Schizosaccharomyces pombe: one gene and its partners. The protein of the gene in region 2 purifies or fractionates together with the protein of the main gene of each other region. This does not show direct contact. Each region holds a gene or a part of one and is shown on either strand. Other genes may lie near its edges.

Region 1 (3,755 bases), 1.6 Mb from region 2:
ATACAAAAATAAAAACAAAATTTTATTTGAATTAAAGGATTTTCGTAATTACTAATCAATTAATCCCTTGGTCCAATCGAATTTTTCAAAACGACTGCGAAACATATCTTCGCGTGGATCTTTTTTACCTGTCCAAGAACCTTTCCTTCTGATTACTTCAGGAGGAAGGTTTAGCATACTGGCAAATACCTGCCTAGGAACTTGATCGTGCCTCCCCCATGCCTTCTCGTCTTCCACGACATGCCCGTAGCCACCATCAATACTGAACCAAACATGAAAATAACCCAATTCTAATCATTAGTAAAATAAATGATTACGATTTTCCAAACATACCCTTAACCATCATTTTTCGAAAAGCCCATTTTCCATACTTCTTCGAACCTTCTAATGTATCAATAATTTTTCGATGTTGAGACCACTCCTCGTCAGAAGTAGACAAAGCTTCACGGAAGTAAGCAGGTGCAAGTGAGAGGATCCTTTTAGAGACTGGAATACACTCAATAGCTGTGTGCATATATCTTTGTGGTGAAGGCGCGTTTTCATAAAAAATAACACCAAGATTCATGGAATCAAACATTAGGGCGATGCATTTCATAAAATTCTAAAAAGGTTTGTTAGTTATTTCCTTTTACTATATTAACATACTCTGATTTCATCCCATTCATCCTCATCACAGCTGAGGGTATTTATCCGATGTCCTGTAGGAACAATTAAACAATGATATTTAGCTAATTCGGGTTGAGTTGGTAAAGAAACATAAGCACGATGACTTAAAGATATTACTGGTGCCAAAGGTTGTGTTTCATAATTTAGGCAAAGAGGACAAGTGTCCAAAACATGATTAATTTTTTTAAGATCCCCACCACTACTAATTTGAGCTAGACTGACGTCTCCGCGCTTCATTCGATTAGAAAGTTTCCCTGCATTTTCGTCCAAATAATCCAGATTGTTAGAATAAGTTTTATCCTTTGCAATCTGCTTTGCGTATTCATAATTCTGGCCGTATTTCCGTTGTTTATTCAACAATTTTTCTTCCTGTACCATCTCATCAATAGTAGGATCGTCGAAGTTTCTTTTTTTTGATGGTATGGTTGCTTGCGAATTAGAATTTTCCGAAGGGTGTAAAGAGTTTTCGAAGTCATCACAAGCTTTCTGATATTCCCTTTCTAAAGACTCATAGTTAGGATCCTTTTTAAGTTGAGCACGTAACAAATCAGCTTTTAATCTATTCAAATCGCTTTCAGTGGGAGTATCTTTATTTACAGAAGGGTCAGGTATTACTTTGTAGTATGTAGCGCCATTACCAGAATCTTTTCTAGTCTTAAATTCATCAGCACATCGTTTTTCATATAATTCGCCAGTAGGAACTTCTTTCTGAACTTTTCGAGTTCGTTTTCGAAGCTCTAACTCATCTCTTTCTTCCAAGGCAAAATCAAATTCTTTCAATGAACCATAACGTTCCAGAGCTACTTCTTCAACGGGGCGTCGTTGGTCTTGAGCCATGTCAAATACGCGTTTGAGCTTCATCATACGCCATCGAGAGCCATTATCACCAATTTTGTAATTAATTCCTGACTCATTAATTTCGGTTTCAAGCTGTTCTATATCTTTATGTTCTGTACTCGTCGAACTCTCATTCTGTAATGTTGCACCAACAAAAATTTCACCAGGCTTATTGGACTTTCGGTCAATAGGTTCTCTTTGTATACGCGAACCGAACGTACCAAAATCCAAACCTTGCAATGAATTAGTAAAGTCATTATTCTGTGGATTGTCTTTGGAGGATGGCATGGAAGAAGCAGAAGCGAATTTGGAGTCAAAGTATTCATTTTCAACAGGAAGTTTCTTTACCTCCAATGGCTCTTTACTAAATCTTTCATGCCTACTTCGGTCACCTGCTTCTCTAGAGCTTGGCCTTTCACTGCGATCATGTCGTCCATGCTTGCTCTCACGATGCCTAGAGTGGTGGTGACGATGCCTTCTAGAGTGATTTGTTTCTCTGTCAGTTTCATTGAATTTGTGAGTACTGGTCCTATTTGTAAGCTTTTCCTTTTCCATAATGGACGTTATTTTAATATTAATTCATGAAATAAATAATTTTTAACAATAATTAGAGGCAAAATGGTGGGAAAAAGGAAATAATGTTTTTATTGTAACTTAACGATGGTAGTAGTACATTCGTTAAGTCAAGTGGTTCAGGCACTATGCAGATCTAAACAAGCAACGCAAATGATAGTTTTGCCAGGAGTTTAGTTTAGACAATGATCAGAATTCTCTTTTAAATTAAAAAAAATTGTAAAATATTGCGTTGAAATGGAAAGAAAAGAAAGTGAAACAATTAAGTTTGAAAGAAGGAGTATCGGCCTTTGCAGTATTCCACATTGACAGTGAAAGGCGATACAATAACTTTAGGATTCCAAAATATATACCACTAACTTCAAACAAAAACCTTTTAAATAACGCAAGGACTTTAGTAGTACTAAATTACCCATTGTTTATTTGAACTTCATTACAAATAAGTTGGAAAGAATAATAAAATACCTCGCGCTAACTACTGTATAGTGTGTCTTGCGCTAGTGTACAATGAGTTTATGATACTAGCAAAGCTACACAACAGCCACAGAAAAAAAAGCATTGTTTGTTTCCAAACTGTGACGATTTTTTATACCTGTATTTCCAGTGTAATTGGATCATTGCAATTATATTTTCTTTAGCAAAGTACTAAAGAAGTCTGTTTATCGCCTTTAATAGCATACAAGTTCAATCAATTATAGCTGTTAGGCCATCTAGGAAATATAAACAAAGGAAAGACCAAATTTTCATTCATATTTATAGCTATGACTAGTTAATGCATGAATAATTAAATTTAACAAAATTAAAAATAAAAAAGCTCTAATAAATGTGAGATTTCAGCTCTTCATGGATACGTGCAGTATTTATATATGACTAGACAGTGAGTTGTAGTGAGAAGTGAATAAGCGAGATATAGTGATGATCAATCTCATTTCGCTAGCAAAACATAATTGGAGTAACAGCAGCAAACGATTTATAAGTTGCGTTAAATCTCACCTAAATTCCAAACACGCGTGTTGAACTTACACATTCGCATTTTTTGCCATTTGCTTCATTTTTTCATTTGTTTTTTACATGAGCATATGAATGATTTAAAACCTAATGCCGAATTCATCGTACTATGACGACGATGGCGGTTCTTTTGAAGCGGCATCATATCCTTTTCAATTCGACGGTAGTCGTCGATTTCCCAATGATTTGCATCCAACGATGTTTGAGGGGGAGGAATCTAATCAAAATGGAGGCTCTGTGCTAATAGATCAAGCCTTTCAGGATATACAAAATCCTAACGTGAATTCAAACATGCATTTGGAAAATCAGTTCCAACACTTTCACGAGCCAAACAAGGAGTCAGGTGCTTTCGGTTCGTACAAAAATGATGATGTTGCTAAAGAAATAGAATCTAGTAAAAATCAGGAAACCGATGCAAAAAGCGAACAGGCACCTTTCACTGAAGACGCATCTTCATCTAATTATGCGCATCATAGAAGTGCTGATTCCCAAACAAAATCTGCGTTACCCCCAAATGTTCCTGCAAGTTCATCGCCATTACCTCCTATGTCAATTGCTATGAACATTGCTCGGAAAAGATCATGGCCTGCCAGTTTGGCTATTGAACGTGACAACACCGCTGACGCCCTCTTTTCTACTGAAGATGGTAGGGAAGAGCAATTTAATTTGGA
Region 2 (3,755 bases):
ACTTTTGAATTTCCAAACGGATAATTAATGGCGTCCGATGAAATCAAAGCAATCATTTCTTTCAATAAAACATTTGCAGTCGGATCTTCATTTTCAAGTGAACGCTTCCATTTTTCTGGTTGTGTTACAGATGGTCGAATCAAATCTCTTTGAATAACCTGTGACCTCCTCGCTTTTGCCAACCTTTCTTTTTCTGCAATACGTTCTTGGATACGACGTTCTCGGTCTGTTGCGTCTTCTTCAAGCACTCCAACAGTAGCTTCAACATCAGTTTCGTCCGCAAATCGAGGCTCCATTAGTTCATAGTCGTTTTTAGGTTTAGGTAGTTTTGCAAGCAATTCTCGCAAAGCCTTCAATCGAATTTTATTTTCTCTTTCACTTGCTAATCGTCCTGCTCGCTCCGCAGCTGCATTAATAGAAAATGTGTCACGTGGTGTTCTAAAAGGAGTTGCTTGAGGTGCTGCCAAAGCTGAGCCATTAGCTGCATGACTGGGAGTAACTCCTGTGTAACCAGTACCACCAGGTTGTAAAGGTATACTTTCCTGACCCAAGAGAGAAGATTGTTCGCGGTTCCTCATCAATTGATTTCTAACTTCAATTGTAACTGAATCCTCTCTTCCCTCAAGTTCACCACTAATTGGTGTTCTCAATGGAGTAGCTCGTTCAATTTGTGTATACTTTCCTAACAAATTAGTACTGTAATTAGCATCTGGAGTCGTATCAGTCATAGCGCGAGCACGATCGCCTGCAAAGCCTAGTTTCACTACTTTATCCAGTTCATCTTGAGACACAGTAGGACTAGGTAAATTCAACTTCCGCCTCTTGCTCATCTGCTCAGCCTCGGCAAGACGTCGCATTTTTTCTTCTTGGGCATCTTTGTTGGGCTTTTTTACTCTATCAATAGGTTTTGGCTTTTCAAAATGACCAAATTTTCGACCTTCGGATTCCATTTCATTATTCCGTATTCCATTTTCAATTATCTTCTGGTCCGCTTCTCGCTTTTCCCGAAAATTTTGCCTGTCCTCTTCTGAGGTATCATAAAAACCAATCGCTGGCTTTTTTTCAAATGGAATAGAAGCGTTATAATCCATTTCATTCTTCTTTCGACGGAAGAGCTTTATACTAAGTTATAGATTAACATAATGAAGGAAAAACAATACAATAAAGTAATAATAATAACACATACTTGATTCCAGCTGCCTTCAATTCTCTTCGCTTTTGGAGATGTGACAATCTTCTAGTTAATTCAAGCTGCTTTTCTCTATCCTTTCGTTTGGCTTTCTTTCCTTGTGTGTTTGCTAAACGTGCACGTGCTTCACTCAACATCTCTTTTTCGTCTTCATCCATGTCAATGGCATCAGGGAGTGCAGGTAGGGTTTCTAAATTGGGCTCTGCTTCGCCAAAACGAAGCCGGGAATTTGGATCGTTAACAGGCGCAGCTGCTTCTGCACCTTCTCCACTGATCAATCCCAACTGCTCGTTCTCTTTCGCTTCCAAATCATCAAGAAGTTTTTGATAGCGTTCTAAACATTGAGTGGCCGTCCGACCTACAATTGGAGCAATCGTCCGCCACTGTGTAGGAAGTAACTTAGCTAAGTGTAATAATTTTTCGTCCTCTTCACGACTCCATTCAGTCTAAATGTGAAGGAAATGTTAACAATAGGTCTTGTCAAATAACAAATAGTGATTACATGTTTAACATACCTTTTTAATGCTTGGATCGATCCATTCATACCAACGAGCTTTACATTGTTTAGGAGTTTTGCGAACCAGCAATGAACTTATGCGGGCCCATTGGTTTTTACCGTATTTACTGACAGCAGCCTAGGAATTTGCGTTAGTATTCTAAATATTAAAGGAAATATGTAACTAATAAATAAAAAAATACCTTTAAGATTTCATCCTGTTTACCAATAAGTTAGTAACAAAAACATTGCGCGTGGTAGAAGGTTAAAATCATAGTCTTTACCTCTGTATTTTTCCAGGCACCTAAATTATGTTAGAAAATACAATAAAAAAAGTTACAAACCTCCTTTTAAAACAACCATTTTCTAAATATTCGCCAAAACCCTGACAATTGTCAGAAAGCGTGGTAATGGAGGTTTGTAGTAACTGTAACAACTTGCGACGAAACAGGGTGGATGGGAAATTGAGGTAAATGTCGAGTGCAGCAGAAAGTGACCAAAATTATATTTTATATTTAAAGTAGTTTTAACTTTTAAAAGAACAGTTTCTTAAACACACTAATAGTCAAACCAAATATTCATTTTATTGTTTTTTCCAGTTTGCTACGTATCACATATTTACCTTAAATTATTTCAATGTAGCACATGTTTCTTTATCGCAAAAATATAATAGCGCAAAATCGTTGGACAACATTAAATTTTTTTGAATATTCCTAACCGTTGAGTATTAAGAAAATATTTGACAAGCAGGATATAGCAATGATCAAATATGTTTATCTTGAAGGTGGATCTACCATACTCTTCCTCTTATTTATGGTTGGTATATCAACAAGTAACTACAAGCATTGCAGTATTATGTGTATCGTTAAGTAACCTAATGACCGCGTATTTGTCAGCAATACTACACTACGTTACATATCACTATATGTCATATGTTGGAATACTAATTAAGATCCGTCTATTGATCATCACGGGTAACTATCCGTCTATATACATAGATACCCGTTGATAGCAACTATTTAGAAATATTATAAATAGAGTTTTAACTGAACTGAGGAACGAGGTTCAGTTATAAGCTATATTAGTGATAGGTAACATTTTATAACCTAGTTAATACAATACCTATACTCAGTTGCTACTCATACGACCTGTGTATTGTAATATAATAGACCACAAGGAAAACTCACCGCAGTTCTACGTATCCTTAAATTAGATAACAAACTGTGTAGCTAGCAGTATTGTGAAAAATAAAATAAGCAATGCAAAAGAAGTATAATGTATCACGCATTTCAATTTTAATGGAATACACTCAAGTTCATTATTTTTATGGGTACTTTGCAAACATATGAATGCATTAGTTTAGCAAAAGCTTTCTTAGATTCTGTGTGAAAACATTAAGAAACTGCTTTATTTGTTTGTTTCTGAAGCTCATCTTTTACTTTCTTTAGGTTATATTTTGCAAATTGCCGCTTTTTTTATGCTCGTCCATGGGTTATCATCTATTTGTTAGACAAACCAACAAAGTTTACGATTGAACAATTGTTCTATTTATCATTATCGAATTTAAAGAAAAACTTAAGGTTTAAAAGAAATGTCAGTGCTCGGGAAAACTTTACAGGAGAAAGTCAATCTCTTGGCTCAATATCCTCAAACAGGGTTGTCTTTAAAGCAATTAGTGTATTTTGGTAAGAATTTTTGCTCAGTTAATTTTTCTTAGATTACTTCATACTAGAAATTTTATACTGACTGCTTAATTTTTATTATGAAGGCAAGAACCCTACACCAGGAACACTTTTCCGGGCTGGCTTGTTTTTGCGAGATGAATTGCCCATTCGCTTGGCTCGGCGCATCCAAGACCTGCAGAATCTTTCACCGATGCTACGAAGTATGAAGCGTATATCTTCCGTAAAGGCTGCTTACGGTAGATCTATGGAGGTAGGTCAAATGTGTATATTTGCATGTTCGATACTTGTCGAAACATAACCAGAAATCAAACAAAGCTAACTGGTTGAAGGAAATTATTGAACTGAAAGGAGTGGAACTACCGAAATGTCTTCCAAAGCACGCTCG
Region 3 (3,755 bases), 2.4 Mb from region 2:
ATCAAAGTCACGCTTATTTTCAGTCTCAACTTCGTATTGTTGAAGGACGTCTAGGTATCGTTCATCATGAGTCATGTACAATTGCTCACTTGAGCCAATGATAGATGCAGTGCTTAAAGGCGTTGACCCTTCACTCTCATTTAATCCGTTTATTGAAGAAGACATGTTATTATTGAGAACATGATCAACGCTAATGAAATAAAAGCTGTTGCAGTCTTCTTTTTAATATTTTTTTGTTTACCACATTACCAGACGTGGTTTGTGTTCTGACAAAGATCAAACTCGGTATTCTAGTGAATTTCGCTAATATACTAAAATCCAAAGGAATATATAAATGTAGAGTATCTCTAAAATTTACGGGTTTTAAACATAATAAAAAAATATAAATCGTGCTAAAATCTAGCTTACCGCTTATTGAGTACAAATTTTTTGCGCATGTACAAACACCTTAATCAAAACTGTGAACAAAAAATTGAAAAAGGCTGAAATGCATATATCAGACCAAGAAAAACTCCGTATATGTAATGATCTCTTGTAAAGTAGTTTGTTAACTTCCAAAAATTCTCAACCTGAAAAACGAATGGACAATTGAATTCAAATATCATTTTATACCAACCATATTCATAAATATAAAAAAAGGGCAAGATGCGTCAAACAACGTGTGCTTGAAGTTCCTAATTTAACGTCTTATTTTCTTCTTTAAACGACGTATTTTTTCTTTTCTTCTGTCCTGTGTACGTTCAAATTTGCTCTCATACCGAAATTTCTTTTTGGCGGCATTTTTAGGCTTGTGGGGACGCAAAGGAACATCTGGTGGAGGAGAAATACGAGGCGTGACAAAACCTTCTTTAGGATAAGCAATTTCTTCATCATCATCGTCCTCTACAATTTCTACCGTAACATGCTTATCATCTTCGTCATACTCAGTAGTTTTAGGCTCCATTGATGACTCTTCCTCGCTGTCAGATTTAGATGAGGAATCTTCTTGCTGTGAAGATTCTTCATCATTTTCTAGCGAGCTATTCAACTCTTTAGAGAATGCTAATCGCTCAGCCAGTTCTCTTTTGCGCTGTTCTCTGAGCTGAATAGTGTTAGTGATATACTCAAGATAGTATTAGAAAAACTTACAGATTTCCTCAACGCTAAACGTTCTTCGCGTTTTTGCTGCTCCAATTGAACTTGAGCATGCTTTCGTCGTTCAACTTTGCGTTTATGAAATCCAGTTAAATACTCTCTGTAACAAGTTAGTAGCAATCCCTTTATGATATCCATACTTTCGCTTCTCTTTATCAAAGACGATCTCCTCCAATCTTTGCTTCTTCCCTTTCTTCCTGCTGTAAATCTCACCTCCACGGGTTAGTAGAGATGTATTATCCATGATGCAACAGTTCGTGAGTAGCTAGAAGAGAGGGACAATTTATGGGAATCTGTAGTGATTTTAAGTAAATTATCTCCAATTCTATCCAGTCTCGTAATGGTCCAGTAGATTTATGAAGACGAGAGGTACTGAAACCCTACTATGCCTTGTACGTACATTTGCACTACTAACTAGAAAATTATTTGCAAAATGCATCGCATTTGCCTTATATTATATACGGATATTGGTATAGTGCAGTAAACGATTAGTTGGCTATGCATTGCTTTCCTCTAGCTATTACACACAGAAACCAACGTGTGCCGAATGTTTTGCTCAATCAGTGGAGAAACGCCAAAAGAACCGGTGATTTCTCGTGTAAGTGGTATGTTTGTACAATAATTTCCCTGTCTGACTGAATGTAGGAAATGTTTACGAGAAGCGCTTGATTGAACAAGTTATTCGTGAAACGTCTAAAGACCCTGTTACTCAACAGGAATGCACGTTGGAGGACTTGGTTCCTGTAAAGGGTAAGATTTCCTTCTTTATTATTGAATGGTTAAGAATTTCAAGTAGCACTTATTTTTTTATACGTGGAGTACTGAATATTCTGAAATTGGTTTGGAAAGTAAAACCCTGCAATATTGGTTGAAGAACTCGTTTATTTTCTTTTTTTTGTTGATAATGTATTTTATTGCATGATTGATTTGTACTCGAAATTTTTTAATTTTACAGCTTTATATTTCTCCTTAAAAAGTGGACTATTTAGTGCATGTCAATATCTCGGGGCAGAAATTAGGAAGGTTTTTAGAGAATTATAGAACAACCTTGTCGGATTTATCAAAACAAATCTTTATCAAAATTAATGTGGAGTTGTTGAGGAAAATGTATTAATACTTTAGATTTTTTTTGGTTTTTGCTCTCCAATGCGATTTATATTTACTATATTTTGATTGTACTGACCATTCACATATAAAGCGAATCAAATCGAAGATAATTGCTAACCTTTAAACAGTACCTGATTTTGTTAGACCTCGACCTCCTTCTGCCACTTCATTGCCTGCATTGCTGTCTCTCTTTCAAGAAGAATGGGATTCTGTCGCGCTTGAGCAATTTGAACTTAGAAGAAATCTTACAGAGACGAAGCAGGAGTTATCAACGGCATTGTATTCGCTAGATGCTGCGTTAAGAGTTATATCTCGGCTTACCAAAGAAAGAGACGAAGCTAGAGAAGCATTGGCGAAATTTTCCGATAACATAGGCACTGTTTCCTCGAAAACTATTGAAGTACAAGAGGTAGAGATGGGCGAAAGTGATGACCAGCTTAAAACTAGCTTACGCTCTACGGTGGAAAAAACATTTCAAGAACTTTCTTCCAAAAGGAAACGTACAAAGTTACAACCTAAATGGGCGACTGACGATGCTGTGAGTCAGCTCTTGCAAGCTACTCCTTCTACTATCTTAGAAAATTTGGAAACAGAAAGCACTACGTCTTTCTTCCCGTCCCCTGAAAATTCTTCTTTTGTATTATGTCTTCATAAGGATGAACTTTTATGTCTAGATATCCAATCCAACAGTACTCTCAAAATTTTTGAAGGATCAGCTTTAGCGTGTTGTTGGTTGACTTCTTCCAAGATTGCTGTCGCTACTGCTGATGCCATTTCAATTTTTGAATTTCCTGTTTCCTCATCTGGTTTACAAAGTGTGGGTGAACCTACTTCGTCCATTCCTATAGACGAAAAGGTGAACTTCCTTCAAGCTCATCCAAGTGGGGAATATTTATTAGCAGCATCAAACGAAAAGTGTTATATTTTCTCCCTGAAATCCCAGGTTTATAATATCACCGTTGCTCAACACATTACATCTCTTGCTGTACATCCGGACGGTAACCTCTTTGTCGCTGGGTTAGAGAATGGCGAGTTACGCTTTTTTGAGACTTCCTCGGGAAATGAGCTTACAAAATTTGGACCACATTCAAGTCCAGTTAAAACATTACAATTTGGTGAAAACGGTTATTGGCTTGTAGTAACAACTAATGATGACTCTGACATTTTCATTTGGGACTTAAGAAAATCTGAGCTTGTTCAAAAAATACCCCTACAAACCAAAGTCGCAGCAGTGTCATTAGATATTACTAGTCAACTTTTGGTAAGTTCGGATGGGGAGACTCTCTATGTACATATTTATGTCAAATCTTCAAAGTCTTGGAGATGTATGAGTCAAACCCATGTTTCCTCTATTTCTAATTTGGTTTGGTTAAATGAGTTACACCAGTTGTTGTTTAGTACTTCAAATGGAGCCATTCTCCGGTTGGGTTAACCCAATTTTTAATCCTTTAATTATGTGCTCCTCCATTAGGCTTTTCGTATTTAGTAAGATTTTGGCTCTTTAACTTAAGTGA

The links.
Region 1: the proteins of cdc5 (region 2) and cwf19 purify together in Schizosaccharomyces pombe (affinity purification with mass spectrometry; 3 studies listed by BioGRID, with this or other methods). This does not show direct contact.
Region 3: the proteins of cdc5 (region 2) and prp19 purify together in Schizosaccharomyces pombe (affinity purification with mass spectrometry; 6 studies listed by BioGRID, with this or other methods). This does not show direct contact.

The regions. Positions count from the first base shown.
Region 1 is NC_003424.3:1,101,690-1,105,444, forward strand, and holds the start of cwf19 (protein Cwf19), read right to left. Parts: upstream 2,119-3,755; 5' UTR 2,059-2,118; coding exon 646-2,058; exon of another isoform or gene 602-645; coding exon 334-601; exon of another isoform or gene 291-333; coding exon 52-290; 3' UTR 1-51. Other genes in the region: Lsd1/2 complex PHD finger domain-containing protein Phf2, read left to right, coding at 3,175-3,755. UniProt on the Schizosaccharomyces pombe protein: Involved in mRNA splicing where it associates with cdc5 and the other cwf proteins as part of the spliceosome. Involved in mRNA splicing.
Region 2 is NC_003424.3:2,693,051-2,696,805, reverse strand, and holds the start of cdc5 (splicing factor Cdc5), read right to left. Parts: upstream 2,108-3,755; 5' UTR 2,049-2,107; coding exon 2,030-2,048; exon of another isoform or gene 1,990-2,029; coding exon 1,970-1,989; exon of another isoform or gene 1,913-1,969; intron 1,904-1,912; coding exon 1,889-1,903; exon of another isoform or gene 1,825-1,888; coding exon 1,705-1,824; exon of another isoform or gene 1,636-1,704; coding exon 1,187-1,635; exon of another isoform or gene 1,123-1,186; coding exon 1-1,122. Other genes in the region: [pyruvate dehydrogenase (acetyl-transferring)] kinase Pkp1, read left to right, coding at 3,277-3,370, 3,454-3,620, 3,700-3,755. UniProt on the Schizosaccharomyces pombe protein: Involved in mRNA splicing and cell cycle control.
Region 3 is NC_003424.3:5,131,561-5,135,315, forward strand, and holds the start of prp19 (Prp19 complex subunit, ubiquitin-protein ligase E4 Prp19), read left to right. Parts: upstream 1-1,662; 5' UTR 1,663-1,681; coding exon 1,682-1,739; exon of another isoform or gene 1,740-1,779; coding exon 1,780-1,884; intron 1,885-2,223; exon of another isoform or gene 2,224-2,369; coding exon 2,370-3,673; 3' UTR 3,674-3,755. Other genes in the region: RNA polymerase I upstream activation factor complex subunit Rrn5, read right to left, coding at 1-165; rRNA exonuclease Rrp17, read right to left, coding at 680-1,081, 1,129-1,234, 1,275-1,378. UniProt on the Schizosaccharomyces pombe protein: Probable ubiquitin-protein ligase involved in pre-mRNA splicing. May also function in DNA repair.